2 linked regions of the Caenorhabditis elegans genome follow. The protein of the gene in region 2 binds, or shares a complex with, the protein of the main gene of each other region. Each region holds a gene or a part of one and is shown on either strand. Other genes may lie near its edges. A codon is read from its position in the direction of its gene.

Region 1 (6,821 bases), on a different chromosome or scaffold from region 2:
TTCCGAAATCGTAGTCGATCGCCAGGCGAACGACTTGATGCACAACGACCCAGGCCGCCACAGAAACCACATCATGAGGATTGGGAAATATTGCCGAATGAATTTATTGTAAGTTTATTCTACATCAGCAAGGGTGCACGGCTTTTGCAAACCGGCAGTTCTACAAAAGGAGCATGTTATCCTAATTTTTTTCATTTAAATTCAGTGATCGAATATAGAAAAAAAACATTTTATTTATCTGAAAATAGCTTTTTTTTTTACAGTTGAAGCAATAAAAAAACGCTCAAAACTTCTGTCAAAACTATTAAAACAAGCATTCTTTTAGATTCAATACAAAGTTGGTTCGGGATCCTTCGGTACCGTCTATCGTGGAGAATTCTTCGGAACTGTTGCTATAAAAAAGCTGAATGTTGTTGATCCGACGCCTTCTCAAATGGCAGCCTTTAAAAATGAAGTTGCAGTTTTAAAGAAAACACGTCATTTGAATGTTTTGCTGTTTATGGGATGGGTTCGAGAACCAGAAATTGCAATTATTACTCAATGGTGTGAAGGATCGAGTTTGTATAGACATATTCATGTTCAAGGTGATCTGAACTGAGATTTTAATTCTTATAATTTAATAATTTTCAGAGCCACGCGTCGAATTTGAAATGGGTGCTATCATTGATATACTGAAGCAAGTGTCTCTTGGAATGAATTATTTACATTCAAAAAATATTATTCATCGGTAACTGACCATATCTATAATTTATGTTTAAATGTTTAAAACATTTCAGTGACTTGAAAACGAACAATATATTCCTTATGGATGACATGTCAACGGTAAAAATTGGAGATTTCGGCTTGGCAACTGTCAAAACGAAATGGACAGTGAACGGAGGTCAACAGCAACAACAACCAACAGGAAGTATTCTCTGGATGGCACCTGAAGTCATCAGAATGCAAGATGATAATCCATATACCCCACAGTCTGATGTGTATTCTTTTGGAATATGCATGTACGAAATTCTATCTTCGCATCTACCATACTCCAACATTAATAATCGAGATCAGATATTGTTTATGGTTGGAAGAGGGTATTTGAGGCCGGATAGATCGAAAATTCGACATGATACGCCGAAGAGCATGCTCAAATTATATGACAATTGCATTATGTTCGATAGAAATGAGCGGCCAGTATTTGGAGAGGTGAGTGGGAAATACCGACTTTAGAAATTTGGTAGAACTATGATTTATTATGGGGTTATTCATGAGTGTCAAAAAACTTTTAAAAAATCGATTTTTTGTACTTTGTACATGTTTCGACAGCGTCGACGAGCGAAAAACTACAGTAAGCCGCCATGCGGCGAGACCATACGTTTTCATATGACTATGTCTCTTCAAAAGTTGTGTAAATTTACGAGCTGGGCGTTCTCCCCGTGTACACCGCGAGGACAATTCGGAATTTATTTTCTTCCAGTACTTCACACATTTTCGCTCTTTTTTTTCACATTTAAAATTGGCAGTTTTGTCTAAATATGGTGGCTTCCTTTGATTTTTCACTCTTTGACGCTGTCGAAAAATGGATAAAAACATGCTTTTAAGAAATCGATGTATTTTTTAAAAACATTTTTTTCGCTCATGAATAACTCCACTACACTGAAAAATCCAAAAAAATATTGTAGTTTGATTTTTAAATAAATTTTAATGAATGAATTCCAATTTTTCAGGTTCTCGAACGACTTCGCGACATAATTCTTCCAAAATTGACTCGTTCTCAATCAGCTCCGAATGTTCTTCACTTAGACTCGCAATATTCGGTGATGGATGCTGTAATGAGAAGCCAAATGCTTTCCTGGTCATATATTCCACCTGCAACTGCAAAAACCCCACAATCAGCAGCAGCAGCGGCCGCTGCTAACAAGAAGGCATACTACAATGTCTATGGTCTCATTTAGTTTTATTTTGTTTTTTTTTTTGAAAATCAAGGGACACTGCAACTTTTTAGTTGATTTTCTCGTCTCTCCCCGAATATGTACCTTTATTTTCTCTCTTTTTTCTATTCTTCCCAGTGATTTTCCCTACCCCATGTGTACACTAACCAAAAAACTTCCAGTCGAAGAATAATCTCGCCCATCGTTATTTTACTAATCATTTCTCGTCACATTGAATCCTGTTCTATTATTCACCCCCTCATCACCCATCCCGATATTATTATTATTATTTTAACCCCGTATTCACCGTTTCCTCCAAAACTTAAAAATCCCACCAAAATACTTTCTTTCCAGTCTAAGTCCGCCTGCAATCGTTCCCCCATGTGAAATTGTGATAATTTTCATATTTTTGTTTCGGCTAAACCGGTAGAACTTTTTCTTTTCCAACTATAATGCTTTTTATTGAAAACGTTTCTTTTGATAAGTTTTCAATGTTCCCACCCCATTTCCGTTTCCAAACATCCCAAAGATTCTCTGTATGTATAGAATTATATAGAATCCAATGCCTATCCGTTTTGTTTTTGTCATTTCGAACACATTTTGAAACTTCCATTTATTTTAATTTCAAAATGCAGCATCCCCATTCCTTTTCTGAACCGGGTTATTTGAATCATTTAATTTTTGCAAACAAAAAAAGTTGAAGATAAAATAATTTTTCGCCTGACTTCCTGTTTCTTCTTTTGAGTGGCTAGAAAAAGTGTAGGATTTCAGATTAATATTTTAAAATTTGAAAAAAAAACAAAACAATTTTGTTCCAGAGGATTCCACAGGATGTCGGACGAATGGGAACAGCTTACTGTAGAGTTGAGAAAAATTCCACGTGGCACCGAAGCTGCACCACAGTATTTGAGAGTAAGATTGAGAGGTGTTGATTTATCGAAATGAGAATAATTCCAGCATTTAATGAAAATGTTTGTCGCTGACTTCGAAACTGCTGTATCCAAAAGATTCGATGTAAAATTCTGGAATAAACTGAAATCAATGATGGATGAAATAACAAAAGCAATGGAAAATGATCGACTTGTTAATCATAATGTTCAAAATCTTGCAATTGGATTTTTGACTGATTTATCACTTCTTGTTCATTATCATTATGAAATTCCAAATTATGGAAACGATATCTCAAAACAATTAACATGGACACCAGATGTATTTCTAAACAGAAAACCTATCAAGTCGAAAAAGAATAGTCGAGTGTTCATGGCTTATGTTCTGTTAAGAATGGGAGATTTAATGAGATATAAGGTAGTTTTGAAATTTTTTCATAATTTTGGAAACAATGATGTCAAAATTTGTTTTTCGTTTTTCGAAGTTGATCCAACATGGACCAAAAGAAAAATCGAAAAAAAACCCGAAATTTTTAATTTTTCGATACCAAAAAATTCTAAAGAGCGAAGGGTGTCGTTTGGGTAGTATTTTAGAAAAATCATATAACATTTATTTTCAGGAGAACTACCCAAAAGCTCAGGAATATTACGAGCAATCATGCCGCATTAATCCAGCTGATGGAGCTGTCTGGAATCAGCTAGGATTGATATCTTCACTTGGGTAATATTCAAAATTCCATAGATTTCAGGAAAAAGTTTACAATTTTCAGTGCAAAAAACCTGGAAAGTGTCTATTTTCATACACGAGCTCTTCATGCCACTATGGAATTCCCAACTGCTTCTGGTGGCTTAACGAATATTTTCAAAAATTTTGCAAATCGAGGTACTGTAGGATTTTCATTGAAAACCTAGATATCAAAATATGTCTGTTTTCAGATATTTCAAGACCAATGCCTATTAAAGATCTATATTTATCCTGCCTAGGAAGAATTCATTTCGTGAGTTTAATTCAGAAAGATGAGTATACAAGGGTTACAGATTTCAGCTTCTAGAAATCGAAGATTCTTCTGTGCACCTACAAAAAATTGGAGAAGAAGCTGCAACTTCAAAAGAAATGATTGTTCCTCTAATGTCTGTATATAAACATCTCGGTTGGTTATTTTTAAATTTTATTTTGTTTTCATTAACATTAAAATTTTTCAGAGGACGGAACTGAACTTGAACAACGAGCCGTAGAGTATGTCAAAACTATTTGGTGTACGGCCTACCGAAGTCTCCTGAAAACTTTGGATGATTATAAGGAGGAATCAAAAAAACTGGCAGATGTTCCACATCTTCTTCATATTCTGGCACTTTTACTCTGTGCACCTAAACTCCTTCGCGGTATTGAAGACCAAACTGAAGATGAAGTAACATCAATTTGCGAATGGCTTCTATGCGCAAATTGTGATGAGAAAATCAAGGATTCTGATGCTTTTGGATATTTTCATTGTCTTCAAAGAATTCAATATCCACTCACTAGAACTCAATTGGCTCAGAAATTAGTTGAAATAGAGGATGAAGATGAATCTAAAGATTCCGATCAATCAACAATACCAGAAGAAGATCAGAAAAGCCTTTCTACAGACACTTCAAGAATTCAAAACGAGGATTCGGAACCTGAATCTGAATCTGAATCTTCGGATGAGGAAGTTTTGCAACGTGGCCGTCGGCGTGGAAGAAATCCGAATCTAGACGAATCAGTCGAAACGGATGAAGATGAATTTTAATGATATCATATTTTCGAGTGTAATTGTGATATAATTCCATTGATTCCAGAACATATTGTCATAATTTTTGGTTTTTTTTCTTTTCATGCTACATAAAAAATTAATATAATTTTGGTCTATTGCAAAAAGAAACGATCTACAACGTTGAAAAGTTCGGATTAATTTCAATGAACGAATAGTTTATTCATGAGGATTATAGTCTAGTAAATTGCAATTTTCACACTTTTTTGTATAATCTCTTCCTTGTTCATTTCCGCCTTCCCACGCCAACCTATAAATGTTGCACGGGGCGAAAGTTTATTCATTCAATTGTTGCGATCATAATGGTTCGAGTTTTACTTGTAGCCATTGCTCTTATTGCATTGATTGTTCAAGTCGACTCCGACTCAATGCCATGGAGAATGATTATGGCGAAGGTTTGTTTGAAATTAGGACACCGTCATTTAGGTGAAACTTGAAATTATGTGCTACATTTTTAATCAATCGCAGTTTTCCCTGTGAAGGAAATTTCTTTTTTTTTTGGAATTCGTAACCTTTATAAACTTAATTTTCTGCACCAAATAACCACAACTCTACAATTTGGCACATGTTACGACCGTTATGAGATTGAGCGTGGCGAGACCTATTCAAAAACTGCGTGTGCCTTTAAACTTGTGTGTCAAAGCTTTGCAAAACAATCATATCAGCAGTGGGGAAAGTGCTTAAAATTACTGATAGGGTCCTAAGGATCATAGGTTAACAATGGCCAAATATCAAAGCATATATTTTTTTTGTTGACAATAAGAATATTTTTGTAGACAAAAAACCATGGTTTTCCTCCAGGTTTATATATTTTATGGTATTTGTAATTACGTATCATTATTTGAACAATACATATTGAGATTCAGTTCACATCATTGCTCGAAATTACTTTAAAAAACGTCTAATTTGTCTTTAAATTAGCACTTTTCCAAAACTTTGACTTAAAAAACTAATACATTGTAGAGTTCTTCATATTCACTGTCGCTGCTGCAAATCGAAATATTCTGTGGCAATCTAATTCCATTTTCACCATTTAAATTCTGATTCGAAACCCGAAAAGCACTGAGAAGCTATGATCAAAATAACAAGATTCCTCTCAAAAAGCACGATTTTAAAAGATGGAAAGATCAGACTAATTCCAAACAAATAAAAAATAGTTTGTTGAAGGATTGCCCTTGTTTACTTCCGAGACTTATATAAAAGTACAAGATACGGAAAGAAAGTTCATTTAGTCATTCAGAAATGATTCGAATTATTACTGTATCTTGTGTATTGATTGTTTTATTTCTCTCTACAATTAACTCAAATTCCATGCCATGCAGACAAGTGTTTGTAAAGGCATGTAGATTAAAAGTTGTAGGAAACATTCTTAATTTCCAAAAGTAATTTTACGATTTTACGACACCAATTTCCCTTTTCCAAAATTAATTTTAATGTTCAAAATTGATGAGGCTTGCAAAATAAAAATTATCGGTTTCACATTTTCAGCCTGGAGATCGAGTGGAAATCGGATATTACAATCCAAAAAACATTACGAGATTTGTGAAGAATGCAAAAGGAGTCGGTCAAGAACACGTTTTCAGAGTTTGTAATGGAAAGAATAAGACAAAATGTGGTTTTTGGGAGAACGTTAAGGTAATTAATTTCATATTTTTCGAAAAAAATCTAAAGCTTCAGACAAAAAAGAAGGTAGAACCAAAAACTACATACAACAAGAAGAAGAATCTATTGATTATTCAAAAAGTGTCAGCACTTGATGCAGGAACTTACAGAACTCCAGAATATGATACAGTTGATCTTTATATTCAAACTGATTAGAAACTTGTTAAATTTGCAATAAAAATAAATCATGAAAGCGAGCATATGAGGTATATTGTTTCTCAAGAGGCTTTTCAAGATTCTCACTGGCTCTGCGTACTTGCAACAATTTAGTGACTTTGTTATACAAGCTAACTCGGCTCGTCGCACAATGCTCCTTAATACTTTAATTTGAATCAAAACGCAATAATTTTCACCTAACAAATTGGAATTCTGAGAGTTTCTGACAGAAAAACGTTCTCAATTAAAGGTGATGTAGTCGAATTTTTTATTGCCTTAATAGACTCAAAATTGTCTGAAAACTTTTTTTTTTGAAATCGCCGTCAAATTTTGAGTATACAAGTTCATTATCTTGCGTTTTAAACTAGATTAAGGTATTTAAAAGTCGATGGACGGTGAGATTTTTTTTAAAA
Region 2 (6,754 bases):
AAATATGAACTACGCAGAAAACGAAACAAGGCAGTTTGAAGCTGCATTAAAGAACAGCGCTTTTCAGTGTAAACTTGTGACGGTGGGTATACATTTTATGTACTTAAATTGTTCAAAAACCTTCATTTAGTCAATTGGTGAAGTTTCAAAACCTTTGTGAATCTAGTTTTTGAAAAAATTTCAAATTGGTGCCAATTTCACTGATTTTTTGTGAATTTCCAAGCTAAAATTGAAAAATTCAATGTGAACTTGTGACGGTGGGTATGGTTTTTATGCACATAATTTGTTTGAAATACTCTACCGAGTTAACTGGTGAAGTTTCAAAAACTTTATGGGCCTAGTTTTTGAAAAAAGTTCAAAAATGGGCCATTTTTGTCGATTTTAGTGGTTTTCGGAGCTAAAATAGAAAAATTCAATAGGAACTTGTGACGGTGGGTATGAATTTTTTGCACACAATTTGATTAAAGTAGTCTACTGAGTAATCTGGTGAAATTTCAGAAAATTTGTGGATCTAGTTTTTGAAAAAAGTTCAAAAATGTGCCACTTTTGACGTATTTTCCTAATAATTGCCTAATAAATCGAATTTCCACTTTTATTTAGGAAAATAATCGTTGTTATATGTGATTTATTCATTTTAAAAACAATTTTGTATATATTTTTGTAGTTTTATCCATTATAATGTCTCATTCATCGAATTTCAATGATATTAAAAATTTAAATTCAAATTTCGCGCGCTTTGCAGCGGCCATGGCCTAGGATTCTCACTTTTCAATTTTCGCTAGGCCACATGTCCCAATTTACACGCCGTGAGTAGTTATAAAACTCACTTGTATATTTTTCTGACACATTCCGTACTAATTTCTCTAACCGGCGCTCCGCTCAATCCTCCTGTTTCCGTTTTATTCTCTGATCTGAGATAGTCGGGTCGTGCAATTGTGGTATTCGATACAATAATTCCATCGATCGCAAACTTTTTATTCGTCACAACTTGTGCAATGTCTTTTAATTCTGATTCAATTAGATCCGGAGCAATTTTCAGAAAAACTTGAGGCTGCTTTTCCAGCTTGTGCATTTCAAGCGCTTGGTGTACATAGGCCAACAGCTTCTCCAAATCACTTTTCTTTTGCATACTTCTGAGCCCAGGAGTGTTAGGTGATGATACATTGAGAACCAGATAATCACAATGTGGAGCAAAGTAGTTGACACCAATTTCATAATCCAATCTACAAGAACTGAAATTTAAACGTTTTTGCCTTTTTAACTGACTTTGCGTCTTCCGTAAGTTTATTCTTTCCCAAATTGACTCCAAAATATGCATAACTCTCTGGAACCCATGAATCTCTGGCACTTCGTACTCTTTGATGAACTCTTCCAACTCCATCACTATTAAATCCATATCGATTGATAACTCCTTCATCTTCCAATAACCTAAACACGCGTGGTCTATTATTTCCTGGTTGTGGTATTGGTGTTACAGATCCAATTTCAATGAGTCCAAATCCAGAATTCTTGGCCAATTGTGTAATTGCTTGTCCATCTTTATCAAATCCAGCAGCTAACCCGATAGGATTCTTGAATTCTCGTCCAAAAAGCTCACATTTCAGTTCAGGATATTCTTTTCGATTCCATCCGAAACGTGGCAAAAGTCCCCACGAAGCAGCTCGAACCGCCCATCGATGTGAATCTTCTCCATCGACAAATTTGTGTACCATTGGCATTACTGCCTTTTTGTAGAACGTTTCCGAACCATATAGAAGTTCAAGTGCTGTGTAACTGGCAATTCCTGTCGCGAGTACAATTACTGTCGACTTGCTTATTGCACCAGGTGGAAGTTTGGAGTAGATGTATTTTTGTTCGGCATTTTGACTCATTCTTCAGTAGAAATTCAGGATGATTTATTCAAATCAGCAACAAATTTCTCCAGCTGAAAAAAAAAAATTAAAATGATCAATGTGGCTGAGTTTTCTTTTGGAAGTTTTCACTTTTATAAGTAGAAATACAGGTAAAGTATCTTAAAGTTAAAAAAAAAACTTGCCTGCTCTGAAGTGAAATCCAAAACTTGTGTCTCGCCGTCTTCGTAATGGAGTACAAGTTGAAAGAATGGTTGAAAGAGACTGGGAGAAGAGTCGCAGCTAGCAGACGCCTAAATTATTTGGAAATTTGAATTGATAAGCTCGATAACTAATGGTTGAAGGTTATCTTAGATAACAGGGGAATCTAGTACAAAGTATAATAAACTATTTAAATCAAAATGAAATGTTAAAGAGTAGTGTCGTTTTATTTTAAATTACTTTGAAAAAGTTAAGTTGGGAAATGAAAGATTGGCAGAATCTACATTTTTATGAAAGTTTAGGGCAAAAAAATGGCATGAGAACATCTGAAATGTTTGCAGCATGGTGTCTTGGCGGTGGTTGATGATGATAAAAGTGACAAAAAAGATAAGATGCGATGATGAAGTGTCGAGAGAAGAAATGAATGAAAATCGACGCGATAGATCAGAAATCACATTTTGCTTAAACTGCCGAATTTGTTTTTGAACAAATACAACGTTTTTGAAATGAATATTTTCTTTTTTATTCAGTTTATGTCACCTCAATTTTCATTTTGTGCAACTTTTACACGAAAACTTTTTTTTAAAACTTACTCGAATACTGTAGTCGTATGATTTAAGTTTCTTCTTGATAGTTTGATGGTTTTCCGCTCCTAATGACATACAATCTGAAACTTTAAGAATTTAAAATAAGAAATACTATTTAGTTTGAAGATAAAGAAACAAGTGATTTTTAGACATGAGAACAATTTTAATTTCAAGAGGTTTTTCTTTTTTATTGGAAAAATTAATAATTATACAGTTTTTGCGTATATACTTACAACAAATATTATACAGCTATGGAAACAGATTTTTAGCAAATGAAAACACTTGAAAACACAAGATTTATGTCCAATTTTGAACTAAAACGCTGAAATTTAATTCTAAAATCTTTCGAAACACATTTTTTAATTGAATTTTAAGAGAAAATATTTAGAAAATTGGAGAAAAAACATTATATTTCAATAAAAACTGAAGAAAATAAAGAGAAAAATGAACTGAATTGTGGGCGTGGCCAATTTGCAACATAGTGCGCAGTTTCTTCTTGATTTTTTTTTCGCAGTCGTTATTTTGTTTTCCTCTTCCTTTTATATTCAATAACTATTATTATAATTATCCGGTTATCCATCTGTCTTTAATTTATTTTTTTCAGAATATAAATATGCAAAAGTCAGATGAAGTCACTGAAAAGTTCAAACGATATTGTAATCAACTGGAAAAATACGGCCAAACTGAAAATGTGCATTCTCCAGTGATGGCGATGTTGCGCAGAAAGTATGTTTTATTCTGTAACAAAAACTTAAAATACAACAGCTTGAGTCAGAAACTATGAAATTAATAAACGATCTTTAAGTTTAAAATTTAAAGAATTACAATTTTCAGAGGCCGAAAACAGCTCATTGAGATTATGAAACGCGACGGGGACTGTACAAGTTCAATCAATAAATTGTGGATTGTTGGATATTATCACCCTTTCCAGTTTTTTATTCGAGTAAGATTAACTTTTAGTCATTGTATTATTTTTATTTGATTTCCAAAGGTTCTTATTACAGGATAAGGAGAAAAACATGGCAATAGCCGTGTTGCTGACAATGTTCTGTGGAGAGCTTCAAGAAATGCTTTCGCTTCCCGATGACAAATACCCAGCATTGTGGAACATGTACATTGGAGATTTTCATCGTTATATGCCAGACGAAGAAATTCAGAAATGCTTGGCAGTTGGATATTATTCAAGAGCAATCGATCTAGATCCGAATCAAGGAAGAGCTTTCCACGTTCTCGCTGGTCTCCGAGCTGACCTGAATGTTGCACAGAAGCTGAGACTGATGATTTTAGGACAGCTCGCCGATGCTCCATATAAAAAAGGCACTGAACTCTTGGAATATTTGAAATTTCCACAAAAAGAATCCACTGATAAATTGATGGTAGATTTTGTCATTTGGGCATTGAACGAGAAATCAAAACGAATGGATTATCAGATGACTGGAATCAAAATAGTAAACGAGTTTAAAGCAGAAATCGAACAGAAACTCGAATTCGATTGGTCTCTGATCATGTCAACGTGTCGTTTAGCATCTAAATTGGCAATGAAGAAATTTGGATGTAAGTACCGATTCCAATATCTATAGAAAATTCTTATTCTGCTGTAGGATAACATAATTTTTTCAGTTCAACAATTCTACAATTGCTTCGACACAATTTCAACGCTGTATATTACAATTTATTCACGTACGATTTCATCCAAATGCCTTCTAGCTGAAGCTATCTCATGGATTTCCGATTCAGCCGAAATACTCGGACACTTGGATGAGCAGAAAAATGAGCCACATTTCCAGAAGCTATCGGTTTTCGCCAAAACGGTAAGATTTAGAGATAAGAAAATGTAGAATAGATGTTTCAATTTTAAAATCAAGGGGAATTAATTATAAATATAACTTATTTTCAGAAATGGAACGAGCTCAACGACTTGGTTATGAATCATATCAATTCCGTATTCACATCCATGTCACTCACAATCAATCCATCTATTTCTATGACCAGCTTTCTGCTGAATGGTCCAATATCCGAACCCAATGTTGAATTTTTGAGTCAATTAATCAATTATCTGGTTTCCGTCGAATTCCCACCAATGGAGATAATCCACGATAGAGAAGAATCGGGTCCATTGCTACGACGAATTAATCAATCGGAACAAAAACGTTTGGATATTCAAATAAAGACACAAAATGATGAAGTTAACCGGGAGGATTGGAGACCTGTTTATGTATTGATGGATTATGACGTCATAGTTGACAAAATAAGAATTGCTCTAAAAATTTGGGATATCGATGATTTCATCTGCATTTTGCCATCAACAGTGCTTGATGAACTTGATTATCAGAAAACGAAGAATCGAGCAGTTCGTCCAGTAATTCGGGCATTAATGGAGCTTCAAGCAGAGGGAAAAATTGTGCTAAAGAAATGTGATAACGAGAGAAGCTGCGCGGAGCAATTGGTTCAAAGTGCACGAAGATCTGCAGAAGATCACAAGCATATTGTCGCTTTTCTGTGCAAAAACCCGAGTGAACAGAAAGAAATGGAAGGAGTTACTTTTTACGATATCGATCAGTTCTACATGAAGTATTTGGAGTGATGAAAAGAAAGGGCTCTACACTGAAAAATCTCACGATGGCTGGAATTGGAACCGCTTAAAATCATTGAGATCATATTCTTCGGATTTATTTTTGATTTATTTTACTGGATTCAATTATTTGACAATTTTTTGGTAATAAAATTTTCTAATTAACTCTTTTCAAATCATTTCACAATAGTATTAAATTAATAGTAGTACTATGTTCCATTTCGTTCAAATTGAAAATTCCAAGAGCACTCCCACGTATCTAAACAATTATGAATTCTTTTGCCACCCCCGTAAACCATTTAGAAAATTGCATTTTCATTTCACAATCATACCTTTTCGATTCCTATCAGCCTACTATAAATTGATTTTCATGAAGTAAGTAACATTTTCAATTTTTATGCTCCGCAAATCGAAGCTACACATTCCCTGACTGTGAGTATTCTAGAGTACTGTAAGTCTACTATTTTGCTAAACGTGCGAAAACTTCCAGATACCGAATTAGTTCCAGAACATTCACCCTCACTAAAAACTCTAAAATCACCTTAATTTGAATGTTCCTCTGTGTCCCGTCAGACAGTGTCTAGGGCCGATTCTCAGTCAGATAAATAGCGCTCTTCTTTTAGAAACAGGGTGAGAGGAGATTGTATCACTCTCATATCGAGGTCATTCAAATGAAAAGAGGTATACTTTTGTTGATTGAAATACATTTGTGTAAAGTTGAGATGTTTCGATTTGAAAACTTGAGAAAAAAATCTGGTTTTGTTTACTAATTGCGGCTTTTACAGTTTACCATTTACTGCTGTATTGTCTCGTCATGCCACTTAGACACCCAATTTTCAATTGAAGTAGAAATTATATTTCCTTCTTTTTCCAAATCTCACTAAGATTATATCAACTACGAAATCGATACAAAATATCTACATACAAACTGTTTTTCTGGTGAATTCTACCTTACTCCACTCATCTTTCCAAATTTTCAGTGAATGTTATCATATTTCTAAAACTAGGTATGGGAAAACTGAAAATGTGCCCTGAAAAGCAGTGGTCCCCCAATATTTTTTTAAATTAATGTTGGTTTTCGCAACGTCATAGTTGTCAAATAAGTCGGTTTCAAAACTTGAACAAACATTTTCGATTGACTCACACATAAACGGACACAGTAAAGTCAGAGAAAAGTCACAATTTTGATTTTTTTTTGTTTTTTGTATAACAAATACTGTATAAACACTCAAATATTTAAAAGCTTCTTGCGAAAAATTCCCGCATTTATAGTAGATCAATCCGTTATGGTACATCTTGACATATAGTTCTGGAAAATATTTTTTTAATCGAAAACCTACATTGGCCATCGTTTAACCTTGTTGCCCGCCATCTCTTCCACGTTAAAAGTAGCGTTTTGGTGTTATGCTCAATTAAAAAAATGTCAAAAATTGTAAAAAAAAAAACGAGATCGCATTGTATCTACTTTTGAACGACACTATATGTCAAAAGTTTAAAAAGTACTATTAATCGTGATTCACCATGTACATACTACACTCCATCTT

What was found.
Region 1: the proteins of smg-5 (region 2) and smg-7 are in contact, whole or in part, in a crystal structure (PDB 3ZHE), measured with the Caenorhabditis elegans proteins. Residues at the interface, in NP_491929.1 of Caenorhabditis elegans: Val84 (codon at 3,670), Thr87 (codon at 3,679), Met88 (codon at 3,682), Gly91 (codon at 3,691), Glu92 (codon at 3,694), Gln94 (codon at 3,700), Glu95 (codon at 3,703), Leu97 (codon at 3,709), Ser98 (codon at 3,712), Asn109 (codon at 3,745), His116 (codon at 3,766), Glu123 (codon at 3,787), Ile124 (codon at 3,790), Gln125 (codon at 3,793), Cys127 (codon at 3,799), Leu128 (codon at 3,802), Val130 (codon at 3,808), Gly131 (codon at 3,811), Tyr132 (codon at 3,814), Ser134 (codon at 3,820), Arg135 (codon at 3,823), Asp138 (codon at 3,832), Asp156 (codon at 3,886), Ser350 (codon at 4,620), Thr352 (codon at 4,626), Ser353 (codon at 4,629); in NP_501033.1 of Caenorhabditis elegans: Pro23 (codon at 2,811), Arg27 (codon at 2,823), Met30 (codon at 2,877), Lys31 (codon at 2,880), Val34 (codon at 2,889), Asn73 (codon at 3,006), Asn76 (codon at 3,015), Leu77 (codon at 3,018), Ile79 (codon at 3,024), Gly80 (codon at 3,027), Phe81 (codon at 3,030), Thr83 (codon at 3,036), Asp84 (codon at 3,039), Leu87 (codon at 3,048), Leu88 (codon at 3,051), Tyr91 (codon at 3,060), His92 (codon at 3,063), Lys104 (codon at 3,099), Gln105 (codon at 3,102), Trp108 (codon at 3,111), Thr109 (codon at 3,114), Asp111 (codon at 3,120), Val112 (codon at 3,123), Leu114 (codon at 3,129), Asn115 (codon at 3,132), Lys143 (codon at 3,216), Tyr152 (codon at 3,445).

Annotation. Positions count from the first base shown.
Region 1 is NC_003282.8:6,738,354-6,745,174, reverse strand, and holds smg-7 (DNA/RNA-binding domain-containing protein), read left to right. Parts: upstream 1-2,731; 5' UTR 2,732-2,744; coding exon 2,745-2,825; intron 2,826-2,870; coding exon 2,871-3,218; intron 3,219-3,420; coding exon 3,421-3,521; intron 3,522-3,570; coding exon 3,571-3,683; intron 3,684-3,736; coding exon 3,737-3,798; intron 3,799-3,845; coding exon 3,846-3,951; intron 3,952-4,003; coding exon 4,004-4,569; 3' UTR 4,570-4,644; downstream 4,645-6,821. Other genes in the region: lin-45 (Raf homolog serine/threonine-protein kinase), read left to right, coding at 1-108, 326-584, 631-727, 777-1,188, 1,710-1,937; Y73B6A.3 (TransThyretin-Related family domain), read left to right, coding at 4,893-4,985, 6,079-6,225, 6,268-6,408.
Region 2 is NC_003279.8:6,732,650-6,739,403, reverse strand, and holds smg-5 (PIN domain-containing protein), read left to right. Parts: upstream 1-3,242; 5' UTR 3,243-3,251; coding exon 3,252-3,364; intron 3,365-3,472; coding exon 3,473-3,581; intron 3,582-3,642; coding exon 3,643-4,192; intron 4,193-4,258; coding exon 4,259-4,449; intron 4,450-4,535; coding exon 4,536-5,222; 3' UTR 5,223-5,375; downstream 5,376-6,754. Other genes in the region: dhod-1 (Dihydroorotate dehydrogenase (quinone), mitochondrial), read right to left, coding at 828-1,223, 1,267-1,871.